Macaca mulatta: one gene and its partners. The protein of the gene in region 4 purifies or fractionates together with the protein of the main gene of each other region. This does not show direct contact. Links are inferred from orthologs where the notes say so. Each region holds a gene or a part of one and is shown on either strand. Other genes may lie near its edges.

What was found. The genes of interacting proteins can lie anywhere in the genome.
Region 1: the proteins of SKI (region 4) and RMND5A purify together in Homo sapiens (affinity purification with mass spectrometry; 3 studies listed by BioGRID and IntAct, counting the BioPlex papers as one, with this or other methods). This does not show direct contact. The link is inferred for Macaca mulatta from reciprocal best matches to the Homo sapiens genes SKI and RMND5A.
Region 2: the proteins of SKI (region 4) and SIN3A purify together in Homo sapiens (affinity purification with western blotting; 3 studies listed by BioGRID and IntAct, with this or other methods). This does not show direct contact. The link is inferred for Macaca mulatta from reciprocal best matches to the Homo sapiens genes SKI and SIN3A.
Region 3: the proteins of SKI (region 4) and HDAC3 purify together in Homo sapiens (affinity purification with western blotting; 4 studies listed by BioGRID and IntAct, with this or other methods). This does not show direct contact. The link is inferred for Macaca mulatta from reciprocal best matches to the Homo sapiens genes SKI and HDAC3.

The regions. Positions count from the first base shown.
Region 1 is NC_133418.1:26,268,651-26,274,215, reverse strand, and holds part of RMND5A (E3 ubiquitin-protein transferase RMND5A), read left to right. Parts: intron 1-1,191; coding exon 1,192-1,358; intron 1,359-2,341; coding exon 2,342-2,507; intron 2,508-5,565.
Region 2 is NC_133412.1:53,435,622-53,441,186, reverse strand, and holds part of SIN3A (paired amphipathic helix protein Sin3a), read left to right. Parts: intron 1-2,138; coding exon 2,139-2,377; intron 2,378-3,607; coding exon 3,608-3,791; intron 3,792-5,565. UniProt on the Homo sapiens protein: Acts as a transcriptional repressor. Corepressor for REST. Interacts with MXI1 to repress MYC responsive genes and antagonize MYC oncogenic activities. Also interacts with MXD1-MAX heterodimers to repress transcription by tethering SIN3A to DNA.
Region 3 is NC_133411.1:150,470,508-150,476,072, reverse strand, and holds part of HDAC3 (histone deacetylase 3), read left to right. Parts: intron 1-1,463; coding exon 1,464-1,545; intron 1,546-1,672; coding exon 1,673-1,729; intron 1,730-1,849; coding exon 1,850-1,905; intron 1,906-2,281; coding exon 2,282-2,415; intron 2,416-2,941; coding exon 2,942-3,022; intron 3,023-3,394; coding exon 3,395-3,468; intron 3,469-3,623; coding exon 3,624-3,688; intron 3,689-5,538; coding exon 5,539-5,565. UniProt on the Homo sapiens protein: Histone deacetylase that catalyzes the deacetylation of lysine residues on the N-terminal part of the core histones (H2A, H2B, H3 and H4), and some other non-histone substrates.
Region 4 is NC_133406.1:238,450,159-238,456,317, reverse strand, and holds the start of SKI (ski oncogene), read left to right. Parts: upstream 1-2,590; 5' UTR 2,591-2,854; coding exon 2,855-3,823; intron 3,824-6,159. UniProt on the Homo sapiens protein: May play a role in terminal differentiation of skeletal muscle cells but not in the determination of cells to the myogenic lineage. Functions as a repressor of TGF-beta signaling.

The DNA of each region.
Region 1 (5,565 bases), on a different chromosome or scaffold from region 4:
GATTAATATTTTTAAAAATCACTGACTTTGAAGTCAGAGAAGCGTCATGATTTGACTGTAAGATGTGAATACATCAGCAAGTTAATTAGAATGTTTATCTGCATGTGCAGCCCTTTCTGGGAAGGTTAGGACCCGGTAAAAGTGCAGCTCTGTGAAGTCCAATCCCAATCAGCAAATTCATTATAAATAACTTGAAAGGTTTTACTCTTGTAGTTGGTGGAGTTACTCAGATTTTATATTCTTACCCAGTTCAGATTCCAGTGGTCTTTGGTGAATTGGGTTAAGTGAGGAGTATTTGTCTTAACTGATGGTCAAATTAAATAATATAATGCTAACAGCTTCTATATGTTAATATATTTAGAGAAATAAAGTAATGTTTCCTTATTCCCTTATCGCAAAATTTGATTTTAACAGCTAACTATATATTTTCCTGCCTTTGCCCTCACCTGACCTGGTAGTACCAGTTCAAGATTGATTATTCCAACTGTTTGTTCTGTAGAAGCCTGAGGTGCTGTATTTTTGGCTCAGTTAAAATAGAATCTTGTTTTTTCCCTTACTAGAACTATGTTTGTACAAATCATTTTGCACAGTAAGATTTACTGTATGATATTTGTCTAGCTTTATCTTCCTGATCAGACTGAAAGCACCTTAGGGGGAAATAACGGTATTTACTGTTTTTAATCCCAAAGTGAATAACACAAAATCTTGCAACTATTGAAAGTTTAAAAGTATAGTTGCCTTTCAGGATCTTTGATTCATGCTTGTATATATCAGGCCAGTTTTACAGGAAAAGGGCAGTGGATCTAGGCAATCTAATTGTGAATCTCACGGCTGACACCGCTTCAAAGTGTGGTCCTGTGCAAGTTCAGATGCATCATGTGACACATCAGAGTCATTCTAGTGATTGTCATCTGCTTTAATGCTTTTTTCTTTCACTGGCTGAAGGGCCTCTGCAGGTGTAGTTATTGGTGGTTACTTTCCTGACAAAAGTCTGGGCCCTAGGGATTGATGTTACCATAGACTTCCACAAGATGGCAGACCAAGCCCCTTTTTTGTTTTACTGCGTTTTGTTTTACTGCGTTACAGGTACTGCGTTGTTAAACTGTTTGTTTACTGCGTTTCAAATAGTTTTTAAGACACATTGCTTATGCTTTTGATTATTCTTAAAGTTTTTTTTTGCCTTTTCTTTAGGTGGGCAGTATCAAACCGGGAAATGCTTATAGCTCAAAACAGCTCCTTGGAATTTAAGCTACACAGACTGTACTTTATTAGCTTGTTAATGGGTGGAACCACAAATCAACGAGAGGCATTACAGTATGCTAAAAATTTTCAGCCATTTGCCCTGAATCATCAAAAAGGTGAGTCTGGAGTCAGATGTTATTAATGTTTGAAACAGGGCTATAGCCACCACTATAACTTAACGGTTCTTATTTGTTTGTTTTGTTTTTTGTTTTTGTTTTTTGTTTTTGAGACGCAGTCTCGCTCTGTCCCCGAGGCTGGAGTGCCGTGGCGCGATCTCGGCTCACTGCAAGCTCCACCTCCCGGGTTCACGCCATTCTCCTGCCTCAGCCTCCCGAGTAGCTGGGACTATAGGTGCCCGCCACCATGCCTGGCTAATTTTTTGTATTTTTAGTAGAGATGGGGTTTCACTGTGTCAGCCAGGATGGTCTGGATCTCCTGACCTCATGATCCACCCGCCTCAGCCTCCCAAAGTGCTGTGATTACAGGCGTGAGTCGCCGCGCCCAGCCCAACTTAATGGTTCTTATCTAGAGCTAATACATGTTTGCCAGTAAACAGTTGTAGTTGATAATCACAGGAAAAGCTCTGACTGGCTCTAGAACAAAAACAAAAATATTAAAGCCTCTTAGAAGTCAGAGATGTTGCAGATTTTGGAATTCCATATTAAACTGAGAGGAGATCTGAGAAAGAGCAAGGTGTGCACTTGCTCTCGTCTACCCCAACCTGGCTGTGTGCTGCTTGTTTTGCCACAACAAAGTGTCAGAGAGCCAAGGCAGCAAATGTTAACCCCACGTATTTGTGTAGGAATACATTAACTCTGCAATCAGAGATAATGTGATGACATAATTGTTACTCCTGTAGGTAATGGTAATTATACTATGCTGTATATAAGAATTTAAATTATAAGTTCAGTATTTTCACTCCTTTCCTTTTCTCTCCATGCTGTTTAAGATGAAGGAAGAAACCCAGCTTAAGGACCAGAATTTTAAAGACCTGTTAATACATTATTTTAGGCTGTATCAGTATGGGTGGGGGTATTCTTGCTTTTCGCAGCTTATTACTGCAAGCAAACTAATGCTTTCTTGCTGGTACTTTTTTTAGACATTCAGGTTTTGATGGGAAGCCTTGTGTACCTGAGACAAGGGATTGAGAACTCACCGTATGTTCACCTACTTGATGCAAACCAGTGGGCTGATATCTGTGACATCTTTACACGGGATGCTTGTGCCCTCCTGGGGCTCTCCGTGGAGTCCCCTCTCAGTGTCAGGTATGGAAATTGGCCCTGTCTGTTATTGAAGTATGCACTGCATTAGTCACCTCCCCTTAACTTGTTTGGTTCTTGATATTTAAAGCCAAAAGAACTTTTGTCTTTCTGAAGAAGAGTGCAATTGGTATTTCAAAAGATATCACAATTGGCAGTAACTCTGTTTTAGAGAAGCAGTTTTGAAAGTGTGGTGTGTGAACCTCACAGGATCCTGAGAGCCTTTTCCACTGTATTGATATTAGTACAGATGGTCCAGAAACAGTGGTGGATTAAACTGCTAGAGCCTTTACACAAGTCGGGGCGGTGGTACAAATTCCACAGATACTTGCTGGATTCCTCACCACCACACCCTTGCAGTTTAAGAAATGCTAGTTTTACTTAACCACACCTGTAATCCCAGCATTTTGGGAGGCCAAGGAGGGCAGATCACGAGGTCAGGAGTTCAAGACCAGCCTGACCAATAGAGTGAAACCCTGTCTCTACTAAAAACACAAAAAATTCGCCAGACGTGGTGGTAGGTGCCTTTAATCCCAGCTAGTTGGGAGACCGAGGCAGAAGAATTGCTTGAACCCAGGAGGTGGAGGTTGCTGTGAGCCGAGATTGCGCCATTGCATTCCAACCCATGCAACAGTGCGAGACTGTGTCTCAATTAAAAGAAAGAAAGAAAGAAAGAATATTCTCGACCTGGTGTGGTAGCTCACATCTGTAATTCCAGCACTTTGGGAGGCTGAGGTGGAGGGAATCTCTTGAGGCCAGGAATTAGAGACCCACCTGGGCAACACAGCTAGACTCTATTTCTCCAAAATGCTTTTTAAAAAACGGATGTTCTTGATGAAACATTAAAATTATTAGTTTTATTACATCTTGACTTTTCGGTACACATCATCTTAATAATTTGACAAAATAGGAAATCCACATAAAGCACTTCAGTTTCTTGTCGAAGTATGGTAATTTTCTTGAGAAAAAGCATATTGTTTTGAGTTATAAGCTAGCTAGTCACTTTTTATCATGGAATACTTTTTTTGTTTCTTGTTTTTTTTCTTTTGTTCGTTTGTTTTTTTTTGAGACGGAGTCCCCTGGCTGGAGTGCAGTGGTGCAGTCTCAGCTCACTACAGCCTCCACCTCTTGGGTTCAAGCAATTGTCCTGCCTCAGCCTCTGGAGTAGCTGGGATTACAGGTACCTGCCACCATGCCCAACTAATTTTTGTATTTTTAGTAGAGACGAGGTTTCATCATGTTGGCCAGGCTGGTCTCGAATTCCTGACCTCAGGCGATCCACCGCCTCGGCCTCGGCCTCCCAAGGTACTGGGATTACAGGTGTGAGCCACCACACCAGCCATGGAATAGGTTTTACTTGAAAGAATCATTAACACAGTTACCCACACTCAGGTCTTTGGCAGTCTTTTTTTTTTTTTTTTTTTTTTTAATCTTTTTTCTTAAATTTTTCAGAGACAGAGTCTTGCTGTGTTGTTCAGGTTGGACTCAAACTCCTGGGCTCAAGTGATTCTTCTGCCTCAGGCTCCTGAGTAGCTGGGACTACAGTTGTGTGCCACATCACCCAGCCATGTTTTTAAGTGAATGAAGCAAGCCTGTCACATTTGAAAGGTCTTAAGTATGATCCTACAAAAGCATGCATGAGTAAAAGAGTCATTCAAAGTACAAGACAGACAAATGGATTTTAATGTAGCAGGGTACAAAAAGTTTAATGGTAAAGTTTCAGATTTTGCTCTGCAACCAACCTTTAGAAAACTACTACCAGTTTTGGCCAGAACTGAAAAGTCAGTTTTGGTGTGGTATTGAGGAGGAGTTTCCACAGTGATCCAAAGCGATCAAAGTAGTGCTACACATATGTGTGAAACAAGGTTTTTTTTTTTCATTTATCTCAACCAGAAGAACATACCACAATAGATGTAATGCAGAGTAAGCTATAATAATCTAGCTGTCTTCTGTCAAGGTAGGCATTCAGGAGATTTGTAAAAGTGTGAAACAGTGCCACTCTTCTCACAAATATATTTTTGTTTTGGAAACTAGTTTTTTTTTTTTTTTTTACAAGAATGTTGTTTTTAATAATGGCATGGTATTTTATTTTTACATGGACTAATCGCAACTTTTATGTTTCTCGTTTTAATTTCTAATGCATTAAAGATATAACCCACAAAAAGAAAAGCTCTTTGAGATCCTTAATATTTAAGCATATAAAGGGGTCCTGAAACCAAAACATTTTAAGAACCTGTTTTAAGAAAATAACTTAATTCCACAAATGTTTTGTATATTTGCTATGTGCGAGGCACTGTGGGCACTGTGTTGGATATAAGATGAATAAGGTGTATTCCGCAGGGTTCTCCATCCTAGCATAGGAGCAGACAGATGCAATTAGCTATAATGTGAGGCATTGTTGCCGTCAGTCTGTCTGAGGAAGACTCTGAAGTGGGAATGTACATGCAGAAAGTTTATTGACATCAGCACCTGTGGGAGAATGAAAACAGCAGGATTGGGCAGAGAGGAAAGTTGGACTGTGTTAGAGTGGCAACAAGGTCTCTCCCATTCCTGAGGAACTCTGGAGCTGCTATGGGCCTGTGGAGTTGTCCCAAATTGGGCCTACAGGGCTGGGCTTTTGTACCCTCACATGGAGCAACTTGCTGGATATGACTCTGGTCAGATGACTCTTTTCAACTGAGGATAGTCCTGAAGAGACAGACACAGCTGAGAGTTGGCTGCCAACACTTCCAGATCTGAGAAATGAGTGCTTCTACCCTGGACAGGGGTGATCTGGGGATAAGAGGAACTATGCAAAAAAATGTTTCAGGAGCAAGCATGTCATTTGACTGATAAGCTGAGCCCATTAAACTTTTTTTTTTTTTTTTTTGCTATTTTGTGCAATATAAAACCTTTTTTGGCATTAATGTAAGATTATTATGAAATTCTTTATGTTTTTTTTTTTTTTTTTGAAACAGGGTCTCATTCTGTTACCCAGGCTGGAGTGCAGTGGCACCATCATGGCTCACTGCAGCCTCAGCCTCCTGGCATCTTCCCACCTCAGCCTGCTCAGTAGCTGGGACTC
Region 2 (5,565 bases), on a different chromosome or scaffold from region 4:
CTTGGCCTCCCAAAGTGCTGGGATTACAAGCGTGAGCCACTGCGCCTGTCCCAGGAACTTTATTTTGAAGTAGTTAGGAAGGAAAGAGTGGAGTGAATAAATGAGGTGGTAGAGGGCCCCATACCACCTGTATCAGGAGGGGGACTACTGAAAGTGGGCTCAAAATCCCCAATGTGTTTATATGTCTGGTTTACATTATCATTTTAAAAAAGGGAAGTCTGGTTTGTCTAAAGAGGTAAAATGACATGTATCCTATTTAGTGTATCTATTACATTAAATTGACTGGCTGTGCTTATTTGTATGGATAGGTATCTTGTTTTTTTTTTTTTTTTTTTTTTTTTAAGTACTCTTTTAGCTCTTTGCCAGCTTTCCATCCTCACACTTGCTTCAGCTGTTTCTGGTGTGTTTTTAATTAAGAGCCACATGCTGCCTGGCCACTGGCAGGTGGTAGGCCATCTTTGCCCCAGCATTTATAAGTAGTGCACCTGTTTGCAGAAAACTAAATCATGACAGATGTTAACTTCCATAGGGAGTGCTATCAAGCTAAAGAAGACATTTCAGCCGGGCGCGGTGGCTCACGCTTGTAATCCCAGCACTTTGGGAGGCCGAGGCGGGCGGATCACGAGGTCAGGAGATTGAGACCACGGTGAAACCCCGTCTCTACTAAAAATACAAAAAATTAGCCGGGCGCGGTGGCGGGTGCCTATAGTCCCAGCTACTCAGGAGGCTGAGGCAGGAGAATGGCGTGAACCCGGGAGGCGGAGCTTGCAGTGAGCCAAGATTGCGCCACTGCACTCCAGCCTGGGCTACAGAGCGAGATCTGTCTCAAAAAAAAAAAACCAAGCATTTCTTTGTTACTTATGTTTAGTAAGGTTAGCTGATGAGTTAGCAGAGCTTGGCATCTGTTTTTGACAGAATGTTCCTATCCCCTCTCAACTGGTATGCTTCCAAATGAGAGGCAACTTCATTTCCCATTTATGACTACAAGGGCAAAGATGAAAGAAGTGGGGTAAGCATGTGTTTAAGATTTGGTGGGATGAGCGAGTTTGAAGGAACATGTTTACCAATTAAGATAGGTTAGTAATGCTTCAGTACAGACAGCTCCCACATCTGAGTGACTTGTAAAGCCAATGGGTTTAATTTCTAATCATTCTACATGTACATTGATGTTTAGCAGGGGATTTGGCATATCAGAATCACTTGGGGATTCAGGCCAAGGGATTGCCACCATTATGATTGTTGCTAGTCACTAGGAGGAAAAGAGATCTCAGAAGGATCTCACACCTTTAAATGCTCCAGCCTAGAAGTGATAAACATTACTTCTTCTCAACTCATAACAACTCATTTGTCAGAACTAGTTACATGACCCTATCCAATCATAAGGGAGTCAGGAAGTTAGTCCATTTTTTGTCGGTAATTGGAGAGCAAGAGGGGCCAGAAGTATTGACAAAATGATGACCACATTTCCAAAACAAGAAAATTTAGGGAACACTTCTGCAAACATTTGGTTGTAGACTGTTCATTTAGGAGTCCAATAAGAATTTAAATCATTACCCGCAGATACAACAGTGAACTCCTTAGGGTATGATAGTCACTGCTCTTATTATTACTGGATGTGGAACAAGGCTATTGAGTATTTTAGTATTTGAATATATTTAAATATTTCAAGTTAAAAAAAAAACTCTCAAGACAGAGCCGTCTTTTGGTATTGTTTTGATTGTTATTGTTTGTTCATAACGGATCTTAGCAATTCAGGAAAGTTCAGGGAAAAGTATCAGTAAAGTCATCTCTTGTTAGGTTCCTCCGGTCTAAGATCAGTAGTCTTAAGCAAAGCACACGGTGCAGGTGGTGGTGGTGATAACTACCGTTTATCCAGCTTCATCCTGTGGTTCTTATGTGCCAGGTATTGTGCTGAATACTTTATGTGGATTGTATAATTTAATCCAGAAATAGGCTTGTGAGAGTAATAGGTGCTGTTATCCCTATTTTGCTGATAAAGAAACAGTCTTATGTAGCTAGTAGGGCAGAACCAGGATTCAAATCCAAGGAGTTTGACTCCCTACCTTATTTTTCTAATCACTACTCTATTCTATTCTGATTTGGGTCCTGAGCATACCCTTCTTTGTCTTCCTCTTCAGCTTGATGTAGTTTTAGAGACCAATCTGGCAACAATCCGGGTTCTGGAAGCAATACAGAAGAAGCTTTCCCGCTTGTCTGCTGAGGAACAAGCCAAATTTCGCTTGGACAACACCCTTGGGGGCACATCAGAAGTCATCCATAGAAAAGCACTCCAGAGGATATATGCTGATAAAGCAGCTGACATCATTGATGGTCTGAGAAAGAATCCCTCCATTGCTGTTCCGATTGTCCTTAAAAGGTACCTGAGCAAATGTGCCCTTAGTGCTTTAGTGTGTACTTCATTACTGGTTCAGTGTCCCATTAAATAAGTCTCTCATTTTCAACCTGGTTGTCCCATGAGACCTCTCTTTCTCCCCAACCCTGGGGGAGTATTTTAAAATACAGAAAAGAAGATAATTACCACCCATGTTCCTGCCACGCTCAGGACTAACTGTTGTTAACATCTTTGTGGTTTTTTTGTTTGTTTGTTTGTTTGAGACAAGATCTCTCTCTTTCACCCAGGCTGGAGTGCAGTAGTAAGAACACAGCTTACTGCAGCCGCAACTTCCCAGGCTCAGGTGATCCTCCCACCTCAGCCTCCTGAATAGCTGGGACTACAGGAGTACACCACCACACCCAGCTAATTTTTATTTTATTTTTTTTTAATAGAGATAAGGTCTTGCTATGTTTCCCAGGCTGGCCTCTAACTCCTGGGCTCAAGCAGTCCTCCTGCCTTGGCCTCCTCAAAGTGCTAGCATTACAGGCACCAGCCACACCATGCCCAGCCCCATGTCATTATTGACCACACTGTAAATCCTTTGTTAGGAGCTTGGTTCTCTCAGTATCATCTGGTAAAAACTAATTCTTAGTTGCTGCACAGTTCACAAATACCCAGATTTTATTTGTCCTCCCTCATCTTCCCCTCAAGAGCTGGCACAGATTGATGGTTTCTTCTTCTTGCCTGTAGTATTTAACTTCTGGCTTTTGAAATATAGGTTATTCTTCAGTTTTAGTGCTGTTTTTTTGTCTTAGCCTGTTCTCTTCTGGTTTATTAGAATCAGTTCTGATCAGAACTTTCCAGACTGTATCCAGAGGAACATAACTGTGCAAGTTCTCTGCTCTTGGACTTCTGTGTTTCTATTAGCATTGTGAACATTTTACAAAGTCCTACAGCAGAGAAACAAGAACTCTTTTTGCAAGGAATACTTACATCTCAAAGGTATTCCCTGGAATGCTGTTTGATAAGTAACCATTCTAGGTAAATTATTTGACTTTGAGATAACTCATTTCCCCAAAATAAGTCTTAGATAAGTAATTTCCTCATGAAACAGAGTTCAAGACTGGTTTGATAACATCCCAAGTTGCCAATAATTTTGACAGACCTAATATAGCTTTGACTTTTCTTGAAAGAAAGTAAACCTGGCAAATTTCTTTCTTCTAAACCCTCTGAATTCCCATATGTTGTTTCCATCCCTTCCCACTTCACTAGGTTGAAGATGAAAGAGGAAGAATGGCGAGAAGCTCAGCGAGGCTTTAACAAAGTATGGCGAGAACAAAATGAGAAATACTACTTGAAGTCTCTGGACCACCAGGGGATCAACTTTAAACAGAATGACACAAAGGTCCTGAGGTCTAAGAGCTTACTCAATGAGATTGAGAGTATCTATGATGAGGTGAGCTGGGGTTTTCTACATCTGTGAGAGGACTCTAGTCTATGTTTAGCACAGCTTTGATTTCTGGAAATTACCTTTGTTAAATGCAGGTGAGACTCTCTAAGACCTGTTGATTCCTGCTTTATAGCTGTCATAGCCTTTTCTATTCCTCATTCTACTATTTTAAATCTAAACTTTACCTTTATACCTAAGCTGTTTGACTAGTTCCCTAGTTTACTATCCTGGTTTCAACTTATACCTCCTGCCTCCATTTTCCACTTCTCCCACTGCCTGTTTCCCTCAAACAATACCTTGTATTCATATAGTCCCATCTCTCCTTACTATAGCTTCAAAACTTGTCATTGACCACCAAACTCTTTGTAATCCTTGCTTATTCAGCATGCCTACTAGAACTATAAATAGTACTAGGAGCTAGGATCAGAGATGAATAAGCAATCAATTCTGGTTTCCATGGGCTCAGTTTTAGCAGATGGATAGAAACATAAATGCAGTGCAATTGGGAATTCCTGGAGTGGGGTGATCCTGAATTTTAAAAATAGTAAAATGAGCTCTTAGGTGAACTCAATCAGGCCGGGGACAGTGGCTCACACCTGTAATCACAGCACTTTGGGAGGCCGTGGCGGGCGGATCACCTGAGGTCAGGAGTTAAGAGACCAGCCCTGCCAACATGATGAAACCCCGTCTCTACTAAAAATACAAAAATTAGCCGGGCATGGTGGTTGCACCTGTAGTCCCAGCTACTTGGTAGACTGAGGTGGGAGAATGTCTTGAACCCGGGAGGCAGAGGATGCAGTGAGCTGAGAGCATGCCACTGCACTGTAGTCTGGGTGACAGAGCAAGACTCTGTCTCAAAATCAATAAAATAAATAAACTTAATCCTCCATATTTTGCTGATGTTACTTTGTCACCCTCCGTACCCCCACCCCAGAAGTAAATTACAGACCTCATATCATATCCTCTATATAAATACTAGTCCAGAATTTTGAAAGATAGTCCCACGGGGCACAGTGGCTTCCGCCTATAATCCCATCACTTTGGGAGGCTGAGGTGGGCAGATCACTTGAGGCCAGGAGTTCGAAACCAGCCTGGGGACATGGTGAAACCTCATCTCTAACAAAAATACAAAAATTAGCCTGGCATGGTGGCACACTTCTGTAATCCCAGCTACGCAGGAGGCTGAAGCATGAGAATGGCTTGAACCCGAGAGATGGAGGTTATAGTGAACCAGGATTGTTCCACTGCACTCCAGCCTAAGTGACAGAGCGAGACCCTGTCAAAAAAAAAAAAAAGAAAAAGAAAGATGGCTCCAGTTCTGTCCCACTCGCCCTGTAAGTCATTGATGTATAGAAGGTACCTGTATTTTGACATCAAACCACATCTCCGTCATTACCTATTTGTTTCTGGAAGAGGGACAAAATTATTGTTACGGTTTGGCCCTAAGTTTTGTTTTTGTTTTTTGTTTGGAGACAGAGTCTCACTCTGTTGCCCAGGCTGGAGTGCAGCAGTACGATCTCGGCTCACTGCAACTTTTGCCTCATGAGTTCAAGTGATTCTCCTGCCTTAGCATCCCGAAGGCTGGGATTACAGGCACCCACCACCATGTTCAGCTAATTTTGTTATTTTTAGTAGAGATGGGGTTTCACCATGTTGGCCAGGCTAATCTCAAACTCCTGACCTCAAGTGATCGCCCTCCTCGGCCTACCAAAGTGCTGGGATTATAGGTGTAAGCCACCGCTCCCAACCCCAGGTCCTAAGTTTTTTATTAGAAAAACAT
Region 3 (5,565 bases), on a different chromosome or scaffold from region 4:
TAGTATCTGTTAAGCTCTTAGTATGGGATGTGAGCATTTAGTCTTCTTACACCATCACGTTGGCTTCCTTTCCCCTTTCAGCTTCATAATAATTTAAAAATAAATCAGTATTCTATGTTTACATTATTACAACTCTGAAAGATTCATTTACTATCAAGCCAAATAGTGTAGTGTGATTTAATCTATTTTCTTCTAAAGCTTTTTGTTTTTCCTGGAGCTGACAATTGCATTATTTTTTCATTTGCTTAGTTTTCTAGGTATTAATCTCTAATTCTTTCCAAACCTTTCGAGAAACTGTAAAACTCTACAATTCTTGCTTGAACCCAGGAGGCGGAGGCTGCGGTGAGGCCACTGCACCCCAGCCTGGGTGACAAAGCGAGACTCCATCTCAAAAAACAAATAAACGAAAAGCCCCTACAGTTCTGTTTTTCACATGGTCAAATGTGTCAGCTGCACTATTTTTCTTTTTTTTGAGACCTAAAACTAGGGATTGCCTAAGCCTTTCCTCTTTAAAAAGTCAGGTTTATATAGGTATAACTTGCATACAGTAAAATTAACCTTTTTTAGGTGTAAGAGTTCAGAGAGTTTTGATAGAATATATCAAGGTGTAGGGCCAGCGCCGATGGCTCACACCTGTAGTCCCAACACTTTGGAAGGCCAAGGCAGGAGGATCACTTACGCCTAGGAGTTCGAGACCAGCTTGGGCAACATAGTGAGACCCTGTCTCTATTTAAAAAAAAAGTATCAAGGTATAGGAAATTTCCATTACCTGACAAAGGTCACTCACCCTTTTGTAGTTAATATCTTCTCTCCAACCTACATCCAGCCAAGTACTGATCTGATGTCTGTCCTTATATTTTACCTTTTCCAGAATGTTGCATAAATGGAGTCATACAGTAAGTAGCCTTTTGTGTCTGGCTTCAAGCCTTTGCTTTTTATAAAGAATAACAATGGTAATAATTATAACTGACATTTATTAAAGGCTTAGCAGATACCGTATACTGTGCCACAGGCTTTTCGTGGGTTATCTCATCACCGTTTCACATATGTAGGTATACAATTCTTTCTTTAAAATGTGTGACTGTGAAGAATATTATTGAACATTATGTTAAAATGTGTTACACTGAGACTAAGAAAAACAGAGCTCATCTTTTCTTTCAACTGATTTCCTTTTAACATTGTACTTCAGTACCTGGAAGCTGCTTGCTTCTTTCCCCAGCTAGGATACAAATTCCCTGACAGTTAAATGCTTCTTTACTTCCCATCCAGTGCCTTGCACAGGGCTTGGTACATGGTTTGATCCAAAATATTTGTTGAATAAATTTGCAGATAGCACAGGTGTGTAGGAGGGGGAGAGAAGGCTCTTGAAAAATGGAGATTGGAGGAATCTGGGGTGGGGAGGGAGGTATGGGAAGGGCCCAGACAGAGGCAGGAGGGTTCCAACTTATTCCTCTTCCCTGCAGCCCAGTGTTTCCCGGGCTCTTTGAGTTCTGCTCGCGTTACACAGGCGCATCTCTGCAAGGAGCAACCCAGCTGAACAACAAGGTGACATAGTCCCGAGTCCTGTTCCTCCTTTCCTCTAGATCCCTGGACTCGGGATTTAACCCTGATCCTGGGCTCCCAGCTTGAAGGGTGGGCAGGAAGGACTGTGACTTGGGTGTTTGTCTTTCAGATCTGTGATATTGCCATTAACTGGGCTGGTGGTCTGCACCATGCCAAGAAGTTTGAGGTGAGTGAGGAGTTGATGGGAAAGACAGTGGCCATCCTCGGGTAGGTGTTTAGGATGATGGTGGGGGCAGCTGGGTAGGGGAATTGCTCCTCTCTTTATGAGACCACTGTCTTGCCATAGGCCTCTGGCTTCTGCTATGTCAACGACATTGTGATTGGCATCCTGGAGCTGCTCAAGTAAGTAGCCCAGGAGGAGATGGGGGCAGTTATGGGATTCTTGGCTGAGAAGGTCTCTCAGACTCAGCCCTGACCTTGACCTCCCTCCTCCCTGACTAGCTTCTCCCAAGTTCTTGATGCTTTATTCAGGCTGCCTCTTCCACTGCTGCAGATTCCCTGCTGCCTGCTCACATTTCAGCCTTCTCTGCATATCCCTCTTCTGTCCCTGCCTCTAGCCTCTAGCCTGGAGCCCCCAGTTGCCTTTAGGGAACTGGTGATATTAAGTTTCAGGTGACCAGGGCAGAAGCAGACTCTTCACAAAACGAGACCCGGTGTTTGGGAGGAGTGGGTCAGGGGTTCACTTCTAGCTCAGACCCTGGCTTTGGCTTCCCTCCAGGTACCACCCTCGGGTGCTTTACATTGATATTGACATCCACCATGGTGACGGGGTTCAGGAAGCTTTCTACCTCACTGACCGGGTCATGACGGTGTCCTTCCACAAATACGGAAATTACTTCTTCCCTGGCACAGGTATGGGAATAGGGATTACTTTCCCATTTGCACCCTTCAGCTCTTTACTATGAGTGCCTCCTTCTCAGCCTTCTAGTCTCATCTCAGGTGTCCCCTCCTCAGAGAAGCCTTTCCTGACCACCCCAGTTGTCACAATCACCTCCTTCCCCATTCCTCTGTTACATCAGCCTCATTCCCTCAGAACACTCACTGCTATTTATGTTTATTGTGGTTTTTTGTTTTGTTTTGTTTATTGCCTCCCTCCTCATGCCTACTCCCTAAGAATATAAGGTTGGTGGGATATCGTAAATTTCATTAGTTCCGTTCACTGCTGCGTCCCTACTGCCTAGTACACAGTTGGCTCAGAGTAGATCCCCCAAAACTCTTTGCCAAATGAATGCGAGCTGCAGGAGATTTAGTGGCTCTAGGGAGTTTATGGTGAAGCTACATAGATGCAGTGAGAGGCTCCCAGAGTGCAGATTGGGGTTGAAACAGCTGGGCTGTGGGTGCTTCCCATGTGTGGCTACCACCACCCGCTTCCCTATAGGTGACATGTATGAAGTCGGGGCAGAGAGTGGCCGCTACTACTGTCTGAATGTGCCCCTGCGGGATGGCATTGATGACCAGAGTAAGTACTGAAGTCTTCCTTCTGTTCCCTAGGCCCCTTCTTTTTCTCCTTGAAGTAACCTCTTCTGCCTCGTATTGTCTGCTGTTGGGGCCAGGTGTCCTTAAGGATGAAGGGCCTTCAGAGGGACCATGAATCCCTGGGAATTGTATGCAACATATCATGTATATGTGCATTTTTCTGGGAAAAGTCATTGGCTTTCATCAGTCGCCCATAGCAGTCTGGGATCCCTTCCAGAAGTTTCAGACCAATGATTCGGTTCTTTTGGGTTGCCCCTTTCCTGGGCTACATGCTCGCTCAACCCCCTTTTTCCTTTTGTTCCCTGTCTCCCCATCCCCTTGGGGTGCCAGGTGCCCATCTTTGGCCCTCTCCCAGGTTACAAGCACCTTTTCCAGCCGGTTATCAACCAGGTAGTGGACTTCTACCAACCCACGTGCATTGTGCTCCAGGTAATACTGTCAGTTCCTCCTCAGGAGTGTTCTGCCTGGGCTTGGGGAAAGAGGACAAGGGAAGAGGAGGTTCTTTAGGTTGGTGATAGACGGGGTATCTGTGATGTTCTGATCAGTTATCTCACTGCACTTGCCTGGGCTTTTGCTTTTTGCAGTGTGGAGCTGACTCTCTGGGCTGTGATCGATTGGGCTGCTTTAACCTCAGCATCCGAGGGCATGGGTGAGACTTGCTCTCCTTCTTCTCCGCAAGGTTTTCAAGTGGCCTTGGACTTCAGTACGTGGGTGGGGGTAGATGGGGAATGGGCCTCATCTCTTCTTGGAAATCAAAAGTAGCTATAAATTGTACTTGAACTAGAAATGTCATCTTGAACAGAGTTCCCTAGATGGTCATTCATTCACAATATATTTTTATTAAGTACGTATTATGTTCCAGGCATCGTACCACATCATGGGGATGGAATGAGGAGTCTCCTGTGGAGTTCACAGTTTAGGAAACAGACAAAAAATAAATAATCAAATGAAATAGATTGTTATAGATTCTATGAAAGAAAAAAGAAAGCTGAGACACAGGATACAATGGGGGACCTACTTTAGATAGCATGATTTGGAAAAGTTTTTCTGAAGAAGTAAAATTTGAGCTGAGACCTGGAGACTAAGAAGGAGTGAGTCATAAGAGGAGCAGAGAGAAGCCTGTCCCAAGCATTGACAAAGGCCCACAAAAGGCTCTGAGGGCTGGGCCCAATGGCACACACCTATAATCCCAACACTTTGAGAGGCCAAGGTGGGAGAATCGCCTGAGGCTGGGAGTTTGAGGCCAGCCTGGGCAACGTGGCAAGAGCCATCTCTACAGAAAATAAAAAACAAAATCAGCTGGGCATGATGGTGCATGCCTATAGTCCTAGCTACTCAGGAAGCTGAGGCAGGAGGATCACTTGAGCCCAGGAGTTTGAGGTTACAGTGAGCTATGATTATGCCACTGGACTTCAGTCTGGGCAACAGAGTGAGACACTGTTTCTTTAAAAAAAAAAAAAAAAAAAAGGCTGTAGCAGGAATGAGCTGACGAAGTAGAATGCAGGGAGCAGGCTGGAGGTAGTTTGAGGTGAGGTCCAAGAAGCTGGCCATGGTGAGATTGTGCAGAGCCTTTAAACCCTGGTAAGGAGTTTGAATTATATTCCAAACATGATGGGAAACCATTGAAGGATTTTAAGCAGGAAAGTGACATGATCCAATCTGTGTTTGAAAGTGACTATTCTGACTGCTGAATAGAGAAAAGTTTGGATGGGGGAATGGGGATGGAAGTGGGAAGACCAGTTAGGAAGCCATGGTGTTGGTTAGGTGCCCAGACTAAGGTGAAGGAGGTGGCAATGAAGAACAACAGCCACAACCCAGCTATTTCAACACACACACACATATATATGGTTTTTTTTCTTTTTTGAGATGGAGTCTTGCTCTGTCGCCCAGGCTGGGGTGCAGTGGCACGATCTTGGCTCACTGCAAGCTCTGCCACCTGGGTTCTAGCGATTCTCCTGCCTCAGCCTCCTGAGTAGCTGGGACTACAGGCATGCGCCATCATACCTGGCTCTCTCTCTCTATACATATATATATATATATGTATGTATATATATATTTTTTTATTTTTAGTAGAGACTGAGTTTTGCCACGTTGCCCAGGTTGGTCTCAAACTCCTGAGCTCAGGCAATCCGTCTGCTTCGGCCTCTCAAAGTGCTAGGATTACAGGCGTGAGCACTGCACCGGGCATGAGTTATATTTTCAAGGTTAGAATTGACAGAACCTGCATTGATGAGAGTAGTTGGTTAACATGCAGGGTGCCAGGGAGGGTGTTGAGCAGAACAGAGGTGGGACTGTGCTTTATTTTAAAATTTTTATTGAGACACAGCATATAAAGTATATGCAAATCTTAAGGGTATAACATAATGAATTTCACTATGCAGCTAAAGATTTGGAACATTTATAGTTTTCTTGTGCTCCTTTCAGGCAATACCTAAAGGTATTTATTTACCTTGTCTTTTGATAACCTCCTCCGCGTCTTCCTCTGGTTCCTTTTAACAGGGAATGCGTCGAATATGTCAAGAGCTT
Region 4 (6,159 bases):
TCAGCCTCCCAAGTAGCTGGGACTACAGGCGCTGCTACCACGACCTGCTAATTTTTTGTATTTTTAGTAGGGACGGGGTTTCACCGTGTTAGCCAGGATGGTCTCAATCTCCTGACCTCCTGATCTGCCTGCCTTGGCCTCCCAAAGTGCTGGGATTACACGGGTAAGCCACAGTGCCTGGCCTTTTTTTTTTTTTTAGAGACAGGGTCTGTCTCAAAAAAAGGGTGTGTCCCTGTCACCCAGGAGGGAGTGCAGTGGCTCAAGGACAGCTCCCTGCAGCCCCAACCTTCTGGGCTCAAGCAATCTTCCCACCTCAGCTTCCCAAGTAGCTGAGACCACAGGTGCAGGCCACCATGCCCGGCTAATTAAAAAAAATATATATTTTTTTGGTAGACGGGGTCTCACTATATTTCCCAGGTTAGTCTTGAACCCCTGGGCTCAAGCAATGAGCCTGCCTCATCCTCCCAAAGTGGTGGGATTACAGGCGTGAGCCACCCTGCCGGGTTAAATATCCCTTTTAAGGAAATGATCTTCTTACCCAGCTTTCTGATGTGTGAACGCACAGAGAGGCCTGGCCTCCAATTGTGGGGGCCAACAGAGTCAATGGGAAGAGTCGGGGGACAGCGTGGAGTGTGATGACAAGGAGACAAACCCCAAGGCAGCGGAGAGAGGGAGTATGGAGCTGCCCTGGGGTCACCTGCTGGGGGTCACCTGCTGGTAGGTCCTGGCTCCCTCTCCAGACACCTGCCCTGCCGCAGGTCGGGCCAAGACCTGCACAGGGGCGCTGGGCCGGCTCCCCCAGGGTAGGAACTGCGCCCAGGCGTGCTGGTTTGAGGCTGGTTCCAGCCTCCACTGGGGAAGTGAGGGGCAGGAGGTCCCAGCTAAAGGTCACTCACATTGCAGTACCCAGGCCAGCTTGGGCACCCCTGGCCCGTCGGGAATGTCTCTCCACCTCAGGTGAGCACAGTCCGAGCCCTCAGCCCCGCGACCATTGCGTCCCCGCGCCCGCACGCCTCGCTGGACGCTGCCTCCCCTGGAGACCACCTGGCCGACTGTCCAACTTCGGGGCCCCGGGCTTCCCGCTTCCCGCCCTGCCATGGCTTGGGTCTCTCCCACTGCGTGGCCAGGCGTGGAGGGCCGACCTGGCCCCGAAAGCCGTCTCAGCGCTCCGAGGCCCTGGGGCGGAGGGCAAGGGTCTCGCCGGCCTGCCCGCCGGGACCCGCGGGACCGAAATTCTGATAAGCCACCTGGCCGGGGTGGCTGGCAAACCGGCCGCGTCGGGGGCACCCGACGCCGCCCCTCTCAGGCCCGAAACCCCTGGCCCGCGCATCAGGGACAGTCCGCCCGGGGCCGTCGGGCGGGGCGGGGCTGGCGCGGGCGGGAGCCGCGGACACTCGGCCACCGGGCCACGGGGCAGCGGGGGCCGCTGGGCTGCGCCGCCAGGGTCACGCGGCGCGGCGCCTGTCTCGGCGCGGGGTCCCTGGGCGTGGCCGCTGTCCCCCTCGTGTGTGGTGACCCCCAGGTCACCGTGTGGCGTCCCGGTAGTGTGTGGGACCCCAGAGGCGTCCGGGGCCTCCCCGCTGTGTGGCGTCCCACCCTGGGAGAACCCCGGCTGCGTGGCGTGGCCCCCCGGCCTCCCCCAGCTGGTTTGCGGTCGTGGCGGGGGCCTGTGGGTTTCTGGGCCCCGGCGGCGGCGAGACGGGCGCCTTCCCAGCCGCGCAGGAAGCGGCCTCGGCCGGAAGGGGGGCCCCGGGCGCCACCGCCGCCTCCGCCTCCGCCCGCGCCGAGCGGCCTTCGACGGGCGGGGCCGAGCGGGGCCGAGCGGAGTCGAGCATGGCCGAGCGGAGCCGAGTCCTGGCCGAGAGTAGCCGAGTCGTGGCAGGGCGGGTCCGAGCGTGGCCGAGTCCCGGGCGAGCGGAGCCGAGCGCGGCCGAGTCCGGGCGGGGAGCGCGCGTTCCTGGAAGAGCCCGACTGGGGAGCGGGTCACATTCTTGGCCAGCGCTCGGGCTGAGGCGGACGCACGGCAACAAACAGCGCGGGGGGCGGGGCCGGCGCGGGGCGGAGCAGGCGGCGCGGGGCGGGGCGGCGCGGCGGCGGCGTGAGCTCAGCGCCGGGCGCTCAGTCCGAGCCGGAGCGAGCCGCCGGGAGGATGTGCGCCGAGCGCCCCGAGCCCCGCGCCGCCGCCGCGCTCTGAGGGCCGCGGGCGAGAGGCGCCTCCGCCGCCCCGGAAGCCGGGCGGGCGGGCCGCGGAGCCGGCGGGCGGGCGGGCCGGGGGCCGGCGGCGGGCGCGACGCGGCCGGCCAGCGCCGCCGGGACGAGCCGGGCGGGCGCCGCGCGGTGGGAGGAGCGGGGCGGCGGCGGCGCGCCGCGCGAGGACGGCCCGGCGGGCCCCGCGCCCGCGCCCCCGCTCCTCCCGGGCCCCTCGGCCTCGGCCGCCGCGGCGATTCGCGCCTCGCGGCGCCGGCACCTGCCCGCGCGCCCCCCGCGAGCCCCGGGCCCGCGAGCGTTGGCGTTGGCGTTGGCGGCGCGCGCCGGGGCATGCCCCGCGCCTAGAGCCCGGGGGGCGCGCGGGGGACGCGCGGGGGGCCCGGGCGGCGGCGGGCGCGGCGCGGGGCGCGTGGATGTGGCGCCGGGCCCGGGCGGCGGCGGGCTCCAGCGGCGGGACCCCTTCGCCCCGCCCGCCTTCCCCTTCGCGCCCCCGGGCGAGGCCGCGGCCGTGATCGGCCGTGAGCCGGCGGCGGGGGGCGGCCGGGGTCGGGGCCGCGGGCGCCGCCGGGGCGCGCGGGGCGGCGGCGGGGGCCGGGGGGGCCCGGGCGCGCGGGAGCGGGAGCGGCCGGGGGAGACGGAGCGCACCATGGAGGCGGCGGCAGGCGGCCGCGGCTGCTTCCAGCCGCACCCGGGGCTGCAGAAGACGCTGGAGCAGTTCCACCTGAGCTCTATGAGCTCGCTGGGCGGCCCGGCCGCCTTCTCGGCGCGCTGGGCGCAGGAGGCCTACAAGAAGGAGAGCGCCAAGGAGGCGGGCGCGGCCGCGGTGCCGGCGCCGGTGCCCGCAGCCACCGAGCCGCCGCCCGTGCTGCACCTGCCCGCCATCCAGCCGCCGCCGCCCGTGCTGCCCGGTCCCTTCTTCATGCCGTCCGATCGCTCCACTGAGCGCTGCGAGACCGTGCTAGAAGGCGAGACCATCTCGTGCTTCGTGGTGGGAGGCGAGAAGCGTCTGTGTCTGCCGCAGATCCTCAACTCGGTGCTGCGCGACTTCTCGCTGCAGCAGATCAACTCGGTGTGCGACGAGCTCCACATCTACTGCTCGCGCTGCACGGCCGACCAGCTGGAGATCCTCAAAGTCATGGGCATCCTGCCCTTCTCGGCGCCCTCGTGCGGGCTCATCACCAAGACGGACGCCGAGCGCCTGTGCAACGCGCTGCTCTACGGCGGCGCCTACCCGCCGCCCTGCAAGAAGGAGCTGGCCGCCAGCCTGGCGCTGGGCCTGGAGCTCAGCGAGCGCAGCGTCCGCGTGTACCACGAGTGCTTCGGCAAGTGTAAGGGGCTGCTGGTGCCGGAGCTCTACAGCAGCCCGAGCGCCGCCTGCATCCAGTGCCTGGACTGCCGCCTCATGTACCCGCCGCACAAGTTCGTGGTGCACTCGCACAAGGCCCTGGAGAACCGGACCTGCCACTGGGGCTTCGACTCGGCCAACTGGCGGGCCTACATCCTGCTGAGCCAGGACTACACGGGCAAGGAGGAGCAGGCGCGCCTCGGTCGCTGCCTGGACGACGTGAAGGAGAAGTTCGACTACGGCAACAAGTACAAGCGGCGGGTGCCCCGGGTGAGTGGCCCCAGGCCTGGGAGCAGGGGTGGATGTGCTTGCGGTGGGGGACCCTTCTGGGCCACAGGCTCTGGTCTCCAAAGGCTGGGACCTGTGTTTCTGCCGTGCCCCATGTGTCAAGTCTTTGCTTTGTTTTAGGGAAATTCAGAGTGTTCCCCTTGGCAGGGCCAGAGGGTTTAGTAGGAAGGCCCTCCTGCCCTTTCCCCCAGGAGGAGCCTGGAGTGGGGGCTGTGTCGGTGGGGTGGGGGCTAGGCCTGGTGTGTGGGGAAGGCCCACAGGCCCATAGCCTTTGCCCAGATAGGATAGGAAGGCACAGGCCTCCTATGCTCCCGGGAAAGCGGCCTGCTCCGAGGTCAGGGAAGTTAGCTCCAGTTGGGCCCCAGCCGGATGCCTCAGGCCCAGGTCTTCCTTGGGGTTGGGGTGGAGGTGACTGCCCTCACCCCGAAGGCACCCAGCCTCGAAGACGGAGGGCTGCCTGCCCTTGGGCCCCAGGAGACAGAGCTTGGGCGAGACGAGGCCTGGTTTTGTTACTGGCTCCCGGTCCATGTTTGTTGCCTTGAAGTTTTGGGACAGAGACACAAAATGAAGCCAGGTGTTCAGGCTGCAGCGACAGGGGCCTGAGACTGGGCGGCTCCAGCACTGTGCTGGTTGGTCTCCCTGGGCCTGCCAGGGACCAAATCCCAGAGTGCCCCGTGTGGGGTGAGGGCCACTTGGCACCCGGCTGAGGGCCTGGTCAGCAGGCCCCTGGGCCCACATGCTGGAGTTACTGGCGGCTTGGGATTTGGACTCACCCATTTCCTTCTCTCCTTCTGAAACGCAGAGGGGTGCGCCGGGGAGGGAGGCCGCTGGCCTGGCTTTGTAGTTTGCCAGTTGGAGGATCTACGGGATCCGGCATGGGCAGCTCCCAGGCCACGAGGCGCCGAAATTACTCAGTGGGGTCCTCAGGAACTTTCCGTTGCATACCTCCCCAAGTATGTGTAACTTTTCTTTTAAATATCCAGGCTTATTAAATTGCACACACAGAATGCTGCATTGGCTCAGCTATTCTTGGGAGGCCTAATTAATTCAGCTATTGCATCAAACTTTTTTTTTCTGAATCTGTGAATAGATGCTCCAGCCCGGTTTTCTCTGGGCGCCCCTCCAGCAGAGTGTCAGATCGTGGGGAGGAGGGGCTGTGGATGGAAGCGAGGGACTGTCGCCTCTGCGTGGAGGGGGCTGCGGAGGGTGCATGTGCGTGTGCCTGTGTGTGTGCGTGTGTGTGTGCAGGGGTGCTTCTGACCCTGCCAGGCCAGGGCTCAGGTGGCAGCTGCCTGCAGACCTGTGGGCTGGGGACGGATGCTCGTGGCAGAGCTGCAGACAGACCTCACAGGCTGGGACCCTTCATGTCACATGGGGAGTTGGCTGGGGTGGGTCCGATGGCGCTCCCTGTGGGCTGGGGTCTTTCTTTTTGGGGTGGCCGCACCCTCGTCAGTGCCTATGGCTGGGGGAAGCCACGTGTCGCTGGGGTGGTTGGTGGGCTCGGGCAGGCTGCATAGTGGGTCACCTGTGGCCAAGGCCTGAGCTGCTGGGACACACTCATCACTGTCTCCAGAGCTGACGGCAGAGGATCTCGGCTGAGCAGGGTGTGTCTGCGTTTGTTTTTGTCCGACTGTGGGTCATGTATGTGCTTGCAGTCTTTCTGTCTTCCTGGGTTTTGTTGGGGGGCCATTGGAGTGGCCAGCAGGGCCTCTTCGTCACAGCTGACACAGAGCAGGGCCCAGGCCACCGGCTTCTCCCTCCCGGCGGTTGTGAGCGCCGGGGTCCTTGGGCCGCCATGGAGACGGGCCAGACAAGCTTTCCCCCTGGTCATCTCAGCGGATGGCTCCAAGTTGCCTTTCCCTTTTGAAGTCCTCCCTAGCACAGCTCTGAAATCTCATCTATTGATTAAAAAGGAATTCCCAAGCCATACTGACGACGTTTACGGTGTGAGTGACTGGGTCCTCCAGGCCTGAGTGGCAGCCACAGCCTGGCCCTGGCAGTGGTGGCCTCCGCCTGGCTCCCTGCATGTTCACCAGCTCCTGCGGGCTTTCCTCTCCTCATGCTCCTGGGGGTGGGCACCCATCCTGCCCGTGTCGTCTCCTGCTCTGTGTTCTTGACGTGGGGTGGCAGCCAGGGACTCTGCCCTCGCTCAGTGCGTGCCCCCAGGCTCTGTGACTGTGTGGTTGGGAGTTCTGGGCTGCAGGATCCCCTTAAGTCTCCCTAGGACAGCCATGTGCGTGTCTCTGTGCACGGGGGCAACACATGAGAAGGGAGTGTGGTCTCAGGGTGGGCGTGGACCCGCAGTGCCCAGACCCCAC